Callithrix jacchus: one gene and its partners. The protein of the gene in region 4 interacts with the protein of the main gene of each other region in a biochemical or structural test. Links are inferred from orthologs where the notes say so. Each region holds a gene or a part of one and is shown on either strand. Other genes may lie near its edges.

Evidence for each region.
Region 1: the proteins of ZBTB16 (region 4) and HDAC4 form a complex in vitro, tested with the Homo sapiens proteins (2 studies listed by BioGRID). The link is inferred for Callithrix jacchus from reciprocal best matches to the Homo sapiens genes ZBTB16 and HDAC4.
Region 2: the proteins of ZBTB16 (region 4) and HBEGF form a complex in vitro, tested with the Homo sapiens proteins (2 studies listed by BioGRID). The link is inferred for Callithrix jacchus from reciprocal best matches to the Homo sapiens genes ZBTB16 and HBEGF.
Region 3: the proteins of ZBTB16 (region 4) and HDAC5 form a complex in vitro, tested with the Homo sapiens proteins (2 studies listed by BioGRID). The link is inferred for Callithrix jacchus from reciprocal best matches to the Homo sapiens genes ZBTB16 and HDAC5.

The regions. Positions count from the first base shown.
Region 1 is NC_133507.1:160,740,266-160,744,667, forward strand, and holds the start of HDAC4 (histone deacetylase 4), read right to left. Parts: upstream 2,834-4,402; 5' UTR 2,791-2,833; intron 1-2,790. UniProt on the Homo sapiens protein: Responsible for the deacetylation of lysine residues on the N-terminal part of the core histones (H2A, H2B, H3 and H4).
Region 2 is NC_133503.1:38,719,077-38,723,267, forward strand, and holds the start of HBEGF (proheparin-binding EGF-like growth factor), read right to left. Parts: upstream 2,834-4,191; 5' UTR 2,559-2,833; coding exon 2,513-2,558; intron 2,315-2,512; coding exon 2,141-2,314; intron 1-2,140. UniProt on the Homo sapiens protein: Growth factor that mediates its effects via EGFR, ERBB2 and ERBB4. Required for normal cardiac valve formation and normal heart function. Promotes smooth muscle cell proliferation. May be involved in macrophage-mediated cellular proliferation.
Region 3 is NC_133506.1:70,958,370-70,962,722, reverse strand, and holds the start of HDAC5 (histone deacetylase 5), read left to right. Parts: upstream 1-1,520; 5' UTR 1,521-1,880; coding exon 1,881-2,031; intron 2,032-2,450; coding exon of another isoform or gene 2,451-2,680; exon of another isoform or gene 2,681-2,813; intron 2,814-3,675; coding exon of another isoform or gene 3,676-3,728; exon of another isoform or gene 3,729-3,901; intron 3,902-4,353. Other genes in the region: uncharacterized protein LOC118153996, read right to left, coding at 2,451-2,680. UniProt on the Homo sapiens protein: Responsible for the deacetylation of lysine residues on the N-terminal part of the core histones (H2A, H2B, H3 and H4).
Region 4 is NC_133511.1:13,929,903-13,933,629, reverse strand, and holds part of ZBTB16 (zinc finger and BTB domain-containing protein 16), read right to left. Parts: intron 3,646-3,727; coding exon 3,478-3,645; intron 840-3,477; coding exon 610-839; 3' UTR 1-609. UniProt on the Homo sapiens protein: Acts as a transcriptional repressor. Transcriptional repression may be mediated through recruitment of histone deacetylases to target promoters. May play a role in myeloid maturation and in the development and/or maintenance of other differentiated tissues.

The DNA of each region.
Region 1 (4,402 bases), on a different chromosome or scaffold from region 4:
GCCCTCTGAGGCTCCTTCGCGCCCTACATCAGGTACTAATACATTACTCATGGCAGCTTCTGAGCTATGAAAGCCCAGCCGTCTTCAAGAGAACAGTATGGACAAATTCTACAGGAGTGAAATGTTTCTTCTGCTCTGGCAATTAAGACAGCACAAAGTCGCCTTTCCTTTGGTGCCACCCCAACATCAAAGGATTGGAATTCAAAGCCATTCACGCTGCATTGAAACCTCACAATGAAGCTGGAGAATGGAAGTCGATTACTGGGCATAAATATGCAGTAGTTAAAGGAAAGAGTTATCAGGAAATCACACTGCAGCAGCCCCACAATGTGTGGAAACTTCCAGCACTGGAGTCCTCCTGGTAAACATCCACAGGGCACCCTTCTCAAGCAGGTCTCTGGCCAGAGAGAGTCCAGATGGGCTGCCTGAGCCACACGTGGCCCGCGTGCCAGGTTGTTCTGCCCATCTCACTACAGCAACAGCCCCCAAAGCCTCTGAGAACATGTCACTTGGGGATTTTTACTTTGCATTGCTACAAAACTGCTGACCACAGAACATTGTCTCTGGTGCAGGGCTCCGAGGCCACATCTGTCCTTGTCCCTAGGCCTTCCAGGCCTATATGCCGTCCAGTCATCTTCCCTCAGTCCCGCCTCTTAGCCCAGGGCTCCCCCGGGGTCAAGCCTGCTGCCAGCTCGCCTTTAGGGAGAAAGAACCCTAAAGAGGGCAGCGTTACATCTGCCTGCTGAGTACAGCGGCTTCTTTTCTAATAGATTACTGCTCTTTTTAGGACGAGATTTGATCTCTAAAATCAGAGCCCAGAACACAGAAAGCTATACAAGTCTTACAATGTGTCGGGGTGTGTTTTTAAGACATGAAAATACTTCCCTCCCACACAAATGTGAGTTCTTCTGGGGAAAGATGCCACGGATCCCAGAGTAGACTATCTGGGAAAGCGCGATCAGTCTTAAAAATAGGTAATTGAAGACAGATTTTAGAATTCACACGAGCTACCTGAAAAAAAATTACATCTCTCATATTTTTGATATCCAAAACTCCTTCCTGATGAAACTTCTAACTGGGTGGCATTTCGCATTTCCAATTATAATAGAGTAATTGTGTTGCCATAGTTACTGCAAAATTCTGCAATAACTTTTGCTGCTTTGTAACTGCTTTAGTGTATATTTGTGTACAAGCAGCTGAGTTTTCTTAACTCTATCTCCCTCCCTTCCTCCCTCCCCCTCCCCAGCCGCCACCGCCACCACCTTCCCAGGCTGGGTCCTGAAACCACCACACCCGCCTTCTTTGGACGGTCCCGAAAATAATGCACAGAATTATCAGAAGCAATTAAAACTCCAGGCAACCACGATCATATTACAAAAGAAAAAGTGAAACCAGGTCAAGGTGCAAACCTGCCAGTATCCCCCTCAGTCCTGCTGGGCTGGCGCTGAGCCAGGGCTGTTTACAGGTTTACTCCCAGGCCTTACTGCTTCGGCGATTTGTGGGAATAAACAGAAATGCCTGAATAGAGAAAAACGGGGCGGCAAAGTGGCTACACAGGCCCTTTCCTCCCTCACCGAGGGCAGGCAGAACTGCTCTCAGCAAGCAATTAGGTAGGTCTCCACAGTCATGCAATTAGGATTTAGTTAAGAAAGTCATTAGTTTTAAAATAACTTAAGTTTAATTTCTGCAACGCTTTATTTGAAAATTGTGTCACAGCAGGTCAATTTACAACATGCAATAAAGAAAACACTCATATCAGCTGCCTCAAGTTATTACAAATTTTTGATGTGCATTAAATGAGTACACAGGGTTCCACCCCCGGCCCTTCCGACTGATACACACGGTCTCCCGCTAGAACAGTGTCAAATAATTCAAAGCTCAATGTAAATACAAGATAATTTGCTTATGATTCTGTGGTGTGTTTTCGCAACGCCGAGAAACGCGGATCCCACCCCCGAGCGGGGCCGGGCCCCATCTCGGCCTGTGGACGCCCCACGGGCTGAGCCGAGGGGGTCCCAGGCAGCCCCCCGCCCTCCCACGAACCCCGGGGGCTCACGGCGGCTACGACACGCGCGGGGCCGCGGACCCCTGCGGGGAGGTTTTTCTGCAAACTCACAGCATTTGACAAAGTTACATAAACGGCGCCCGCCCGCCCCCGCCCTCACTCCCGGCGGCCCGGAGCCCACCTGCTTGGGGGGCGCGGGCTCCGCACCGGGCCACGGCGCCGCTGCCGGCCGTGCCCACCCCCGCGCCCCCGCCCCGGCGAGCGAGGCCGCCTCGCGGCGCGGCTGGAAAGGTCCAGAAGGGGCCGGGCGGCCCTGGGGACCGCCGGGTCCCACGGCGCGCGGCCCGCGCTGGCCCCCGCCTCCCACGGCCGCGCGCGGGGCGGGTGTGGACCGGCTGCGTCCACCTGCCGCGGGCTCCGAGGCCTGCGGGCGGCGCGGGGCGCGGGACGGGCGGCGGACAATGGCCCGCGGGCGCCGGGCCGGGGCTGCGCTTACCGCGGCGGGCGGCGGCGGGCGGCTCTAGCCCTGCTCGGGCGCTCCGCGCCGCATCTCCTCAGCCTGCGCCGCCACCCGCCGGCGAGCGGGCTCGGGCTCGGGCGGCGACAGCCGGGACGCGGCCGCAGCGCCGCCGGGGGCCCAGGCTGGGAGGCTGCTCGGGCGGCGGCGGCAGCGGCGGCGCGGGCGGGAGCGCGGGCTCGGGCTCGGGCTCGGGCGGCGGCGGGGACGGTGCTCCGCGGCGGCGGCCCCACAACCTCCCCTCCTCATTCACAAAAAATTGACCCACGTTGAACCATGATGCTTCTCCCCCCTCCAGCGCCGAGCCGGGCGGCAATAGGCCACCCCGCACGCCCGTCAGCCGACCCGGCCCCGCCCCGCCCGCCGGCGGCTCATCAGCTATTGGCTGCGGTAGCCTTGCGTCACCTCCCCTTGCGGGCCCCGCCCCGCCGCCTGGTTTCTAATGAAGAGCTCGTCAATTACGGCTCGGCCCCGCCTCCTGCCCGCCCGCCCCGGGCGCCTGGCCGGCCATCCATTGGTCCTCTGGGGCCTGCGCACAGCCCGTCTGCTCCCACCCCTCGCCCAGGAGCTGCCCAACCGCGGGGCCGGACGCCCTATGAGCGACAGAGAGGCTCCACCCATGCCCGCCTCCCCGCACACGTCCTGGACCTCATTGGCTCTCGGAGCTGCCAATTCCAGGGGGCGGGCGTACCGAAGGACGCTCCAGGCGCCAGCCACTGGGTGTTTCGCTTTGCGGTTGGGGAAGCGCTGGGACCCGGGGCCAGCAGTGACCGTAAACACTGGCCCTGGCCGTATCGTCCCAATCAGTAGCCCGCATGGCTGTCTAAGGGTCAGCACCGCGTGTCTGCGAGCCTAATTCGCGCTTAGAGAGCACACAATGGGATGCAGGCTGAGGCCGGGAGCCGGCCAGGCCTCGCCGCGACCTCCATCTTAGGTACTGGCAGTAGGTCACGTGGTGCTGCGTGCGCACGGAGGCGCAGGGCGGCCGGGTCACCGAGTGCGCAGGCGCGGCGGGCCTCGCCCTGCCCCGCGGCGGGAACGCGGCCGTGGGGGTGCGGAGCGCAGGCCGGTCAGGCCTACAACGGCGGGTCGTGGGACGCGGCCTTCGCATCCCTGCGCAGACGGAGATAGTCCGGGCCGCCGCCAGGGTCTCCAGTCCCGGGCCGGGCAGACGTGGAGGGGGCGGGAGCGGCGCAGTGGCCGGGTGGGCGTTGTTTTAAGGCGGCGGGGCTTGTGGGGGGGCTCGTGTGGTTAAAGGTCGGGCCCGGCAGCCCCGCGAGCGCCTTTGGTGGCCACAGCCGAACGGTGTGGGCGGTGGTCTTCAGTGGCCACCTCCTGGCGGTGAAGTTGCCATTTCTTTCCAGCAGGAGTGTGACAACTTTTCATCTTTGGTGCACAAGATGAAACGCGGAACCCCGCGTTCCAGGGAGGAAGCGCCTTTGACAGCTCGCGCCGGTGCGTGGGCCCTGCCTGCGTGGGCCCCGGGACGCTGGGCCTGGCGGAGATGCCCGTCCGCTTCGACTGTAGGCCGTTCCTCCTCGGAGCTGAGCAAGGATCCGTCCTTATGGCATTCTCGACCTGTGATTCTTGGCGGGGGTGGGGGGGTGATATTGTAGTTATGTGGATAGAAATACAGTTAGCAAAATAAAAATGCCAATTTTACATTAAACGTCTCAATAACTCATAATTGGAAAACTTTGGTCATTGTAAGAAATGCTTACTCTGAGATGGCTGAACGCGGAAGGAAAGGAATGGTGAATGACAATTTTAAAACAAGATAGAGCTGAACAGGGGAGCGATTACGGGGTTTTGGAGGCTTAGCTGCTGATGGAAACGGTGCGCCATCAAATTTTCCTGTAGAATGAAACAGTCTGTAGCTA
Region 2 (4,191 bases), on a different chromosome or scaffold from region 4:
CCACATCCATGGCTACAGCCATCAGTCTAGCAGAAGAGTGAGCATGATACATTAGACTAGAGACTTAGAGTCTCAAGCTGGAAGTGACTTCAAAGAATAACATGACGCCAGGCATGGTGGCTCACGCCTGTAATCCTAACACTTTGGGAGACTGAGGCAGGCAGATGACCTGAGGTCAAGAGTTCAAGACCAGCTTGGCCAACATGGCAAAATCTCATCTCTACTAAGAATACAAAAATTTAGCTGGGCATAGTGGTGCATGCCTGTAATCTCAACTACTAGGGAGGCTGAGGCAGGGGAATCGCTTGAACCCGGGAGGCTGAGATTGCAGTGAGCTGAGATCGTGCCATTGCATTCCAACCTGGGTGACAGAGTGAGACTGTCTCAAAAAAAAAAAAAAAAAAAGAATATCATGGCAGGCAGAGTGATTTACTCAAGGTCACGCAGAATTGGGATTAGAACTGTGGTCTCTGGACTCCATTCCAATGTCCTTCCTCATCACATCAAGCTGCCTCACACCACCCCATCTCCTCCTTCCCTCAAGTCTGGAGCACCTGAGATGCTGAGCCAGGCATGAATGGGCTCTGAAGTCCATAGACCTGTGCTCCAATTTCAGCCATATGACTGTGGGCAAGTCACTTAACCTCTCTGAACCTCAGGTTCTCAGGCAAATGTGGATAGAAGAATAACTATCTCAAAAGGTTGCTGTAAGTGTTAAATTAACCAGGATAACATATCAAGTGCCTAGAACACAGTAGGCATTTAATAAATGGTAGCAGTCATTTATTTTAAGTGATAGGATCCCCAGACTTGAAAAATAGTCCTTGCCCAGCAGAGCCAAGAGAAGGTTAGAGAAGTAGATGCCAGCAACCCCACAGTCCCTTATTTCCTCTCATCCAGTCCCAGGCCACCTCAGAGCTCAGAAGGTGATGCAGGTGGTCAGAGGAACCCAGGGACCAGAGCTTCCAGGAGAGCAAAGCAGGAGGGCCACGCCAATCAGAAAGGGGTGGGAAAAGATGCAGGGTGACAGCCAGGCTCCTGCCGTGGAGAAGGAGCAGTGAGTCAGGTCTGCAGAGGTATGAGGAGCAGTCGTGTGGGTGTGGGGTGGGGGTGGGGTGAGTCACAGCCCAGCCCTGCCCAGCCTAGGAGAGGGCCAGAAGAGTTCAGGCTGTTCAGGTCATGGGCAACCCCAGAGGGCCACTAGGGGAGGATGAAGCATGGAAGCCCAAGGCTCAGTTTTGGAGCACGTGCTTGATTTATACAAAGTAGAGAGAGTACCCAAGGGAAGCTCCTGGGAAGGAGGGAGAAAGGCAGCTGAGGAGCAGGAGGAGCTAGAACAGGTGGGCATCTGTCCAACCAAATATAGTCATTCAGAGTCCCTGCTCTACCCTGGAGAATCTCTTCAGGTCTGGAGGCAGGAAAGCTGGCAGGCTCTGGACTCTGCCCTGTGCCTGTACTTGCCCACAGCCAAAGAGGCTGGTTGGAGGATCTTACACAGCTCTCCCATTTGCAGTCTCCTCAGGAATGCAAGGTGCTCAGGAAGCCTTCAAGTTTCCCGTAGCATTCATAGATACCCAGCACTTTAACACAGCCCCCTAGAGGCCCAGTGCTCACCATTCACCGCCTCACCTACGGCAGCCAAGAGCTTCTCATTCCCTTCTGTTTCCCCAATCTGGTGACAGGTGGATGGAGGAGGCTAACATTGCACATTTTCTATAGATGTGCCTGGGCATCTCCTCATCGGTTACCTCTATTTTATACATAATAGTCATTTTGATGAGGGAATTAGAATTGGCACCCATTTTTACATAGTAACTCTAGGGAAAGCATCTCAACCATTCCTTGTTCCTATCTCCCAGCTTACCTAAGAAGAATGTAACAAACTCAAGACAACTTGCCTTTTTCAATTTGCCCCAAAGTACCCAGAAGGGCAGCAATCTAGCAGGCCAGGCCAATGGCAAGACAGAGAGTGGGACCTATATTCCAGGATCCCCCAGTGTCCGTCAGGCCCATCAGCTTTTCCCCAAGGTTCTCCATGAATATCCCCAACCCACAGTATTGGCCAAACAGCAAGAATCTTGGATCTGTTTATTTTTCAAGAGCCCACCAGGGTCCGAGGATGGACGGCCTCCACACCCACCTCTCAAAAGGTCCAGATCTGCCTCTTGCAAGTCACGGACTTTCCAGTCCCGGCCGCCTCCTAGGGGCAGCAGCTGGTCCGTGGATCCAGTGGGAGGGTCCGGGTTGCTGGTTCCAGCAGCTAGCCCTCTCCGAAGCCGCTCCAGGCTATCGCCAGTCACCAGCGCCGAGAGAACTGCAGGCGAGGGGCCAGGCCGCATCAGACACCCGCCCAGACCCCCGACTAACACGCATCGATGCCCACGCCCCTCCGCCAGAGCGCAAGGGCCCCACCAAGTGGCCCGTGCCGGGGGCGCTGCGGCGACCTTCCCCGGTGCCCCCAGCACAGCGCCCCCATCCCCCCGATCTCCGGGGGCGTCAGCAGTCCTCTTACCTGCAGCCAGAAAGAGCTTCAGCACCACCGACGGCGGCAGCTTCATGGTCCCGCACCGAGTGGAGGCGGCGAGGCACCAATCACTTTGGAGGCGGCGGCCACTGGGCGCTGGCACCGGAGCTGGGCGGCGGAGCTCAGGAGATTCCTCTGGGCACCGTTCGCCGCCCGCCTCTGCGTGCAAGCCTGGCCGCGACCCGCGCGCAGCTCGCTCTCGTTTAGTGTCTGTCTTGCTCACTCCGCCCGCCGCGTTCGCCAGACCCCGCGCGCCTAGGTCAGGCCAGCCAGAAGCTTGGACACCGTAGTTCCTTCGGCGAAATGAGCGCTGCCCGGCGCGCGGCCGGGAATAAGGCTCCGGGAGGCGCCGAAGCCCCGCCCTGCCCGGCGCCGCCCCCTCCCTCCTCCCGTGCTGGGAAGCTCGCCAGGCTCGCGGCGCCTGCAGCGCAGCCCCCGACCCCGCCACGGCGGCGGACCGGGCGGGAGGAGGGGGCGGCGCTCACATTTTTTGGGACCAGGCCGAGGCAGCCGCGGCCTGACTGTGGGTAAGGCTGCTGACTGGCAGGTGGCGGGGAGCGGTTCCTACCTTTCCCCAAACGCCTGTCGCGCTGCAGCCTTGTGACTGCGAGCTGAGTCCTGTCTGGGGCCTGGCATCTTGGGTCGTCTCAGCTCTCTACCAAGGGTCTCCATCCCTGTCACCCTCTAAGTTTTAGAAGCCCACCTTTTGGCCTATCAACATAGCAAGCATCAAATAATAATTAATTCATTTATCATGTAAGATTTAGACGCATGAATGCCAGCTGTATCATGAACCCGAGATAACCAGAGTTGAAGTTGCAGGCACTTGGTATCAATCCAGCAAAAGCAAAGGAAGTTAGTACTCTCCCAGAGCCTGGAGTGGCGTCCTCCCATCTTTCCCCCAGGGACATTAGGATTTTTGAAGTATGGATTATAATTCCCAGGCTTCTGAGATTGGAGAGACACAGGTTGTGAAACAAGCCTTATTCTTTTCCTTGCCTTTGACTGCCACCTTTTTCCTCAACATAAACAATGAGCCTCCCTCCCATAGGACCCAGCTGGCTACCCTAGATTGCTGTTTCACAGGCACGGAGTGTTTCTCTTTCAACCCCTGTGCTTTTACAGGGGTCTTCTGGAGTCACTATCCTGATCCAAAGAAATGAGTCTCTCAGTAGGTATTTCAGTTTCCAGGGACGTGCTGGGGAGAGACTTGTTTGACACAGGGCTGGGTTGGCTTTCAGAGCCCTCAAATTGTGCCAGATAGAGCTCTTGCCTGATTCTGCCTGTGTGTAGGGATAAAAACAGGCCTGCTATTTATACGCAGTCTATCCCACTGTCCCTATCCCCACCTTTGCAGGGGTCAATCTGGCCCTGCCCTCTTAACTTGCCCCCAGCAACCCAGGCCTAGGTTTCCATAGTGCACTGGAATCCTACAGATCTGAGTTTGAATCCTGCCTTTGCTATTTACTGTGTGACCTTGGACAAGAAAATTTCACTGAGCCTCAGTTTTGACATCTCTCAAATGGAAAAAAATAATAACTACTTCGTTGGAAGCTTTTTGAGAAATGAATGTGGGAACACATAAAAGTAGCATAGTGCCAGGCACGGTATAAGCTCTCAGTAAATGTGACCCATTATTATTGTTGCTGTTAATAATAATCACTAGG
Region 3 (4,353 bases), on a different chromosome or scaffold from region 4:
GGCCTGGCAAACCCTGCCTCTGCCTATAGGTGTGGTCCCCCAATCCTCCTACTCCCAATCTGAGGGCAGGGGACCCCTTTGCCATCCCTGACTGGTGGAAGCTGGCTGGGAAATTGGGCTCCAGGAGCCATAGCCACTGTGTCCTTGGTTGGCCAGCTCCTCTTGGGCTCCCAACAAGAGGGTGAGGTCATCCAGTCCAGAGAGAGGACAGGTGTCCCTGGCTCCATGCCTGGAGTGGGGGGCAAGGAGGGGGCTCCAAAATAGCAACTGTGACATCAGGAAGAGGGAGGGGGATGCAGACACAGGAATAACCAGGCTATTAAAAGGCTCTAGTGAGGTCAGGGGGCCAAGTGGGATCTCTGTACCTGTGGGAGCACAACCTGAGGAGAAGGGGCAGGCCAGCAGTGGGGAGGGCATGGGAGTGGCACGGGTCCTCACAGTGCACCAGCCCTAGGACCCAGGGAGCAGAGCCTATGCTGCCAGGCCTGAGTCTGGCTGGTGGGGAATGGCTGGATGCTGAAAGACTACTGACTCTTCCTAGCGAGGCACCAACCTCAAGTCTCTTCCTACTTGAGCACAGGGTTTATTGTACCTGTTCATAGAAACCCTGGGAAATGGGAGGCAGTGTGGTGTGGTGGGTCGAGCTCAGACTTGAGTCTCGGACATCCCAGCCCTGTCATCTAAGCAGCTGTATGACCCAGGGTGAGTGACCATCTCCCTGTGCCTCAGTTTTCCCTTCTGTGCCTCTCTCCCAAAGTCACCATGCAGAATGAGATGATGTATGTGATGTTCTTAGCACCACACCTGGCACATGGATAGGGAGGAGCTACCTGTGCTGCGAGAATGGGCAGGTGTTCCCTGGTTCGCTTTCCCAGGCTTGGGGTGAGGAAAGGGGACCAGGGAACCCCTGTCTGCCCAGGAAGAATATCCCTACCCCCTAGAAAGAAGCTGAGGCTGAGCAGCCTCTGGAGGCGACACTCCAGAATGAGTGGGAGGGAGCTGCCATTGGCAGGTGTTTGGGGGTCTCTCTGCTGGTTGAAGGACTGAGGAGGCACTCCATTCCTCAGCTTTGTGGGAGGGTAGAATAAGCAAACCTCCATGGGCTGTTAGAACTCCAGGGAAGTTGCCTGTCTGCCAGCCTCTCCCAGACCCTTTCTATTCCTTTACCTGGTCTGGAAGGCAAGAGGGCAGATGGAGGCTTGAGTCTGGCTTCTTGGTCTCTGTCCCCTGGCTTGCTTGCCAAAAGTAGCAGTCAGAGCCGCTCCCAGATGCATGGGTACCCCAGCCAGCGCCCTTCCCCAGCCCAGCCTCTGGCCACCTATCGCTATGGCCTTGGCCCTGAGTGCAGGCCCTCCCCCGTTCCCATCCCCCTCGCCTGGCGCTTCCTCCTGGGGTAGAACCGCCTCCCCCCCATGGGGCCTCCTGGCAGCCGGCCCGCAGCTCCCTGAGCATGCTCCACCTATTTATAGACAGGGCCCTCCCCCAACTGCTATTTCAGTCTCCTGCCAGCTGCCGGCGGTGGCTCATTCGGGAAGGAGGAGCAGGGAGCCGGCCCAGAGCTGTCACCCAGGATTGGGAGGGAACACAGAGAGCCCGCCTGCCCGCTGAGCTCCCCTTCCTGTCCCAAGTGCTCAGCCATACCCCAGCTCCCGGGAACCAAGGAAAGGCTGGTGGTCGGATACCCCTTTAGAGCAGAGCTGGGCCTGCAGCTCTTGGGCCTCCCTGCCCCTCCTGCCGTCAGGAGTGCCCAGGCCGGATGAGGCACTTCCCCACAGTACGCGTCCCATTGGCAGTGGCCTGAGGGAACCCCTGCACAGTGCGGGCCACCTGACCACCTTTCCTTGGGCTGGCTTTCCGCCTCTGGCGGTCCCCTCCCTGGCATGCTGCTGGTGCCCAAGGCTCAGGGGCTCGTGGAGATGCTGCAGACCATCTATGAGACAGAATCCTGTTTCTCAGCAGATGGGATGTCAGGCCGGGAACCATCCTTGGAAATCCTGCCTCGGACTTCTCTGCACAGCATCCCTGTGACAGGTAAGTGCCTTGGTGTCCCTGCCTGCCCTCTGTCATTGGGTATCCTTGTCCCTGGGCTGAGCATCTGGCTCCGAGCCTTGTGCAGATAGCATCCTGTGTAGATCTGTCTTGAGAGTTTCACTGAGAATACACAGGGCTGGGGGATCCCTGCTCAGAGAGGCCCCTGCCCTCCCTGCCCAGAGCCTGCTGCTCCCCTGTGCCCTGCAGCTGTACTCTGCTGCTTCACTTCCAGTCACTTTGGCCTCTGGCAGGGTCAGCATCTGTTGCTAGGGGCTGGGGGTTACTGGAGGATCCTGGCCTAGTTGGCAGTGTGGTCAGAGGGGAGGAAGTGGGTCAGTGACCCGCCTCCTTGCTGCCCGCTCCCCAGGTTTGGGCAAGGGAAGAAGGCGTAGCTAGGTGTCCACAGGAATAAAGCTTACCCCGGCTCCTCTGGCTTGGTTCTTAGGGCTAGAGCATCAAGTCCAGTAACTTCCGCCAAGTCCCCAGCCAGGAGTCTCCTGAGAATCAGACACTTGGGGAGGCTTGGTATAGTTGTGATGGAGTTAGGCAGAGGCTGGCAGCTCGGATATTGAGGGGCTTGGCTGCCTTCGCATCTAGCTGGCTCCCGATATCGCTCCTCTCCCCAGGTCTGGGTTGATTCCCGTGTCATGAGGATGAAGAGGTATTACTCTGGCTCAGATGGGGTTAGGACCCCCTAATCCTGCCACCCTCTCAGCAGTAACCTTTTTTGCCTCTTGGCTAGGGGTGGGGTCCCCCAGAGCTGGGCTACTCCTTCCCTCACTCCCGGCAACCTTTCGGCAGCATCAAGCCTTTCTGGCACAGCCTCCCCACCAGGCCGGCACCACAAGATGCTTCTTCCAGGGAGGGGCCTGCTGGACCCATGCCTGCTTGGCCCCTCCTGGTAGTGGCTTGGCATTCAAGTGTGGGTGACTATGTGTGTGCACGTGTGAATGGGGAGTCTTTGCCTATGGATATGTGGGAGTGCATCCCAAGCTTCGAATTGGAAGGTGGGAACTGTGTGCCTCTGCAGGTCCCTGTGATTTGGCTCTGAGCTGCCCAGGGATAATGTTGCAGTGCGACTTGGATGTGTCAGAGAATAAATGTTTCGGGAGGATTCAGAAGATCTTTGGAACATGGCCTATCATCTTCCTGAGCAGGGATACCCCTGCAGTGTTCTCACGTAGGGGCATGGCCCTGGAGACTAGCCCTGCAGGGTATCCATGCAGGCCCCGGGGATAGGGGCCTTACCCTGGGGCCAGCCCTGTAGGCTGGGGCTGGGATGAGGGTGTAACCTTGAGGACCAGCTCTACTGTGTACCCATGAAGTCCCGTGAGGTAAGGGCATATGCCTGGGAGCCAGCTCCATAGGCCCCTGGGATAAGGAATAAACCCAGAGGGCTGGTTCTTATCCTGGTCTGGAGTCCACAGGGTCAGCGAAAGACCCTGCCTGCTTGCCCCTAGTCCATGGCCTCCGGGACTTAAGGTGGTCTCTTGGAAGGCAGAATAATCACGGAGCATTTGCTTGGGGCAGCTCTACCCTGTGTGGCTTATCAGGTCCACCCATCCTGTCCTGTCCCCTCCATTCCTTGCTACTAGCAGCAGCCAGCAGTTGGCCCAGAGTTTCCTCCTTGGCTTGTTTACTCACCTCTTTTCAGACTGTACCCCAGAAACCTCGAAGGCTGGACCCTGCTCTCTCATCCCATCCCTAAGCCTGGCTGCCCCTGCATGGACCCCCAGGCACCTCCTCTCTCCAGATGCCTGTCTCCCCACACCAGCCGATGTGGGGGGTGGACCAAGCCTTCTGAGTGGTGGCTTGCTCCATGCTGGCAGGAGGGAGGCGTGAGTCACCTCAGCGGCTCGGGGAGAGGGCTAAGAATGTTCCCCCTGCGCAGCTCTGATGCTGTGTCTGTGACGCGGCTAGGGACAGATATAGGCCTGGAGCTCGGCTGCCTTGTTTTTTTTTTTTTTTTTTTTGGACTCTGGAATGTAAATAGATGTTTCAAATAGAAACACTTTAACCTTTGGGTTAAAAAAAATCCACCCCGGATAAACACGGCCATGAGGGCCCGGGCAGCCTGGTGTTTCCCTCCCCACCCCCTCTCCCCGTCTCTTGATCGGTCTCCAGACAGGATGCAAGAGCCTGGGGCTGAAAAAGCAGGTGTCCAGGGATGCTTCTTTGGACAGTGTGAATTGCACAGGCCTCCCAAGGGGTTGGGGTAAGGGGCTTTTGAGGGTACGCCTGCCTGCCACCTCCAGCAGCATCTTGGAACCCTATTTTAGGGACAGCCTTTGCTCTCTGGGCTGTCTTGGTTGCTGCCATTGC
Region 4 (3,727 bases):
GGACACCCAGATGTGGCAGAGCAGAGGAAGCAGCAGGTGGGCTGAGTGGTGGGAAGAGAAACAGACCCCTTCCTCTCCCCAGTTGGCCTCCAGCAAACTGGAGTTGCCATTTTGAGCAACTACCCAGCCCAGCCCCATCTGCAGCCCCATTTGAGCAACTAGTGACGCTGCCCAGCCCCATCTTCCCTCCCTTCATCTTCTGGGGGGCTGGGGGAGGAAGGTCGGCAGAGACTGTGTGGCTCTTACCAGAGGACCGCTCACCTGCTTCTTAGCCTCCGTTTCTGGATACATAAAGGAAGGACTGGGTGGAGGGAGGAGAAAAATCTGCCGCCATTTGAGTGAACGACATACCCCACCCCATAGCAGAAAATCAGGCAAACCTCCAGCCGGGAGGGGAGGGTGGAGGCCCCCAGAGGAGGGGCAGTGGCTTGGCATCCAGGTCATCTGGAGCCCAGAGAGAATCCAAGGCCAAAAAGCTATCAGGTTTCCTTTCTCTTCTCTTTTTTTTTCTTTTCCTTTTTTTCTTTTTCACAGTCCTTCCTTGACTTCATCTTGCTCCAACTCTTCTTTCCTGGCTCCCTGCTTGGCTCCACCGCCACGGGCCCCGCTTCACACGTAGCACAGGTAGAGGTACGTCTTCTCTATCCTCCAGTCGGGCGGGATCTCCTCGGGCTTGTGGCCCTTCATGTGCTTCTGCATGGAGGAGAGGCTGGGGCAGTACTCGGTGCAGATGGTGCACTGGTAGGGCGAGGCGCCGTTGTGTGTTCTCAGGTGCTTGATCATGGCCGAGTAGTCCCGGGAGCGCTGGTGGCAGAGCTTACACTCAAAGGGCTTCTCACCTGAGGGTAGGGAGATGGGGCAGGAGAAAGTGAGGACAGACAGAGGGCAGTGAGGGCCCCAAGTCATCCTCGGGGGTGCCGGAGAAGCTGGGCTCCTGCAGCAGGGATTACTCCAACAGAACTTCCTGGGACAACCAAGGTACCACCCCAGATGGCAGCCACCAGTTACACACGGCTGTGAACGAGGCTGGTTCGACCGGGGCTCTACAGTTTTCCAATTTTTATTTCATGGTAACTAATTAAATAGCTACACGTAGCTAGTTTGCCCAGCTCCTTGTCTTACTATTCTACTTGTCTTACTAATAATCTACTGGATTGCCCAGCTCCTTATCTTACTATTCTCAACTCTCCCGAGGCCAAAGTCTTTCCCTTTCTAATTAAGAAAATGGATGTCTAGAAGGAGAAAGGTCCCAAAGTCCTCAGGAATGGCTCTTCAAGCCACAAGCCACAGTTCCATCCAGGGAGTAGGTGGATCAAGACCTTTCAGGGCTACAGATGGTGGGGAGCAGAGGTGGGGGGAAACTGAGGGAACCCCGAGTGTCCCCTTCAAGTATGCTACACCTGGGGACATGTATCCTGCTAAAGCTGTTTCTTTTGAGACAAAGTCTCACTCTGTTGTCCAGGCTTGAAAGCAGTGGTACAATCTCAGCTCACCGCAACCTCCGCCTCCCAGGTTCAAGCGATCCCCTGCCTCAGCCTACCAAGTAGCTGGGATCACAGGTGCCACCACCACGCCGGCCTGATTTTTGTATTTTTAGTAGAGACAGGTTTTCACCATGTTGGCCAGGCTGGGCTTGAACTCCTGACCTCCTGACCTCAAATGATCTGCCTGCCTCGGCCTCCCAAAGTCCTGGGATTACAGGTGTGAGCGACTGCACCCAGCCTATCCTGCTAAAAACTCTAGACCTTGCCCTGCAGACCCTGCATCCCTCCTGAGGCTGGAATTGGGGGTAGAGCGGGATGGGAGGAATAAAGACCCTGGGAGTGCACAGCCACACCCTAGCCTTCTATACCCCAACTTTCCTTCCACAGAGTCCCCTGGAGGCGAGCAGAGGATGTAAGAGAACCTTGTTTCAATACAGTAATTAACTGGCCAGCCATCTCGCTATCAATACTCCTCCACGCACAGGCCCCAGCAAATAATGAAGTAATGAACAGCCAAAGTGATCTAACTATCGACCAGCTATTTACAATAGTCACTGCCAATACAGTTAATGATCCACCTGCCAGGTCACATCCCTGACAAGGGGCTAGGGAAACCCCAGGGCTCTGGGAAATCCTCTGGGTCACTGTAGTTGTCAGCAATGGACACCTCACCCTCTCCTTGTGGGCTCAAACTGGGGCAAGAATACTGAGCTCTGACAACACACAGCTCTGCTTACTGCTCCTTCGGTCTACCCTTCCCCTCTAAAGGCAATGTACTCTCCCCTAAGCCAGCAGGACCTGCCTGAGGCCACCTCTCCTCCTTCCTCTGGACAGGACAGCTGTCTCCCCTGATCAGAGGGGGCATCTTTGTTTTCCAAGTTCCACCACCTCTTATTCTTCTGTGAATCATCCTTCCCCACAACCAGCAGTGTGCTGGTGGTAAATGTTTAACAACTGGCTTTCCAAAAAGCCCTGGTTTGTAGCATCTGCCAATTGCAATGATGTGACGACTCCTCCCAGGGCCAATTTTGAGCAACCAAGGTGAGGTCACCGAACTTGAAGTTGTGAAGAAATCTGAAAAATTAGCTTTCACAAAGCACGTGCAGCTCCAGGACTCCACTGCCCCCAGCTTGGGAAACTGTGGAAGACCCTCTGCTTATTTTGTCTTCTGACCTCAGGAAAAAGAGTAGCCTATATTTCTTTGTCCAATATAAAGAAGATGTAGCCAGGTGCAGTGGCTCACACTTGAAATCCTAGTACTTTGGGAGGCTGAGGTGGGTAGATCACTTGAGGTCAGGAGCTTGAGACCAGCCTGACCAACATGGCGAAACCCTGTCTCTACTAAAAAAATACAAAATTAGCTGGGCATGGTGGCACATGCCTGTAATCCCAGGTAATTGGGAGGCTGAGGCAGGAGAATCGCTTGAACCTGGGGGGTGGAGGTTGCAGTGAGCTGAGATTGTGCCATTACACTCCAGCCTGGGCAACAAGAGTAAAAGTTTTTAAAAAAAAGAATGTAAAGGCACTCTGAAATGGTAAAACCTCATATGCATACAGGGATTATTAAATGTATCTGCTCCTCTAATCTCAGAACCAAACACGAGCTCACTTTACAATTTCCCGACCTTCATAATAACCTAATTCAATGCACCCTAATTCTTACTCCAACTGAAATTACCCTAACCTTCACTTTCAGCTAAGTGCTCACATACAGACATCATTTTGCATGTCACCTCTGAACCACTGGTATAGCTGCCTGGAGGGCTGGCAGGATCTCATTGGAAAGTGTGCTGGGATTGATTAGTAATGTCTGCCTTGGCCTTGACTGGGGTGTGATGGTCCTCAGGCCACCATACCAGCCCTTAATAGAACCTCTTCTACTCTTTGGTTCAGCCTGGGATCATTCTCACTTAGGCTTCTCCGACAGACCATCGGTTTTCCACCTCCACCCAGGTCTGAGAGCCAGCTCAGGCCCCTCCCTGGCCCTCAGTACCTGTGTGCACCCTATAGTGCGTCTCCAGCTGATGCTTGAGGCTGAACTTCTTGCCGCAGCCATTGCACTCGTAGGGTTTCTCACCCGTGTGGATGCGTTTGTGGCTCTTGAGTGTGCTCTCATCCCGGAAGCAGCTGCCACAGAACTCACACTCATAGGGGTGGTCACCTGTGGGGACAAGGGGCTGGATCAGGTCTTTGCCGTTCCTTGCCCCCTCTTCAGGAGACAGTAGGGCACATTCAGTGCATGA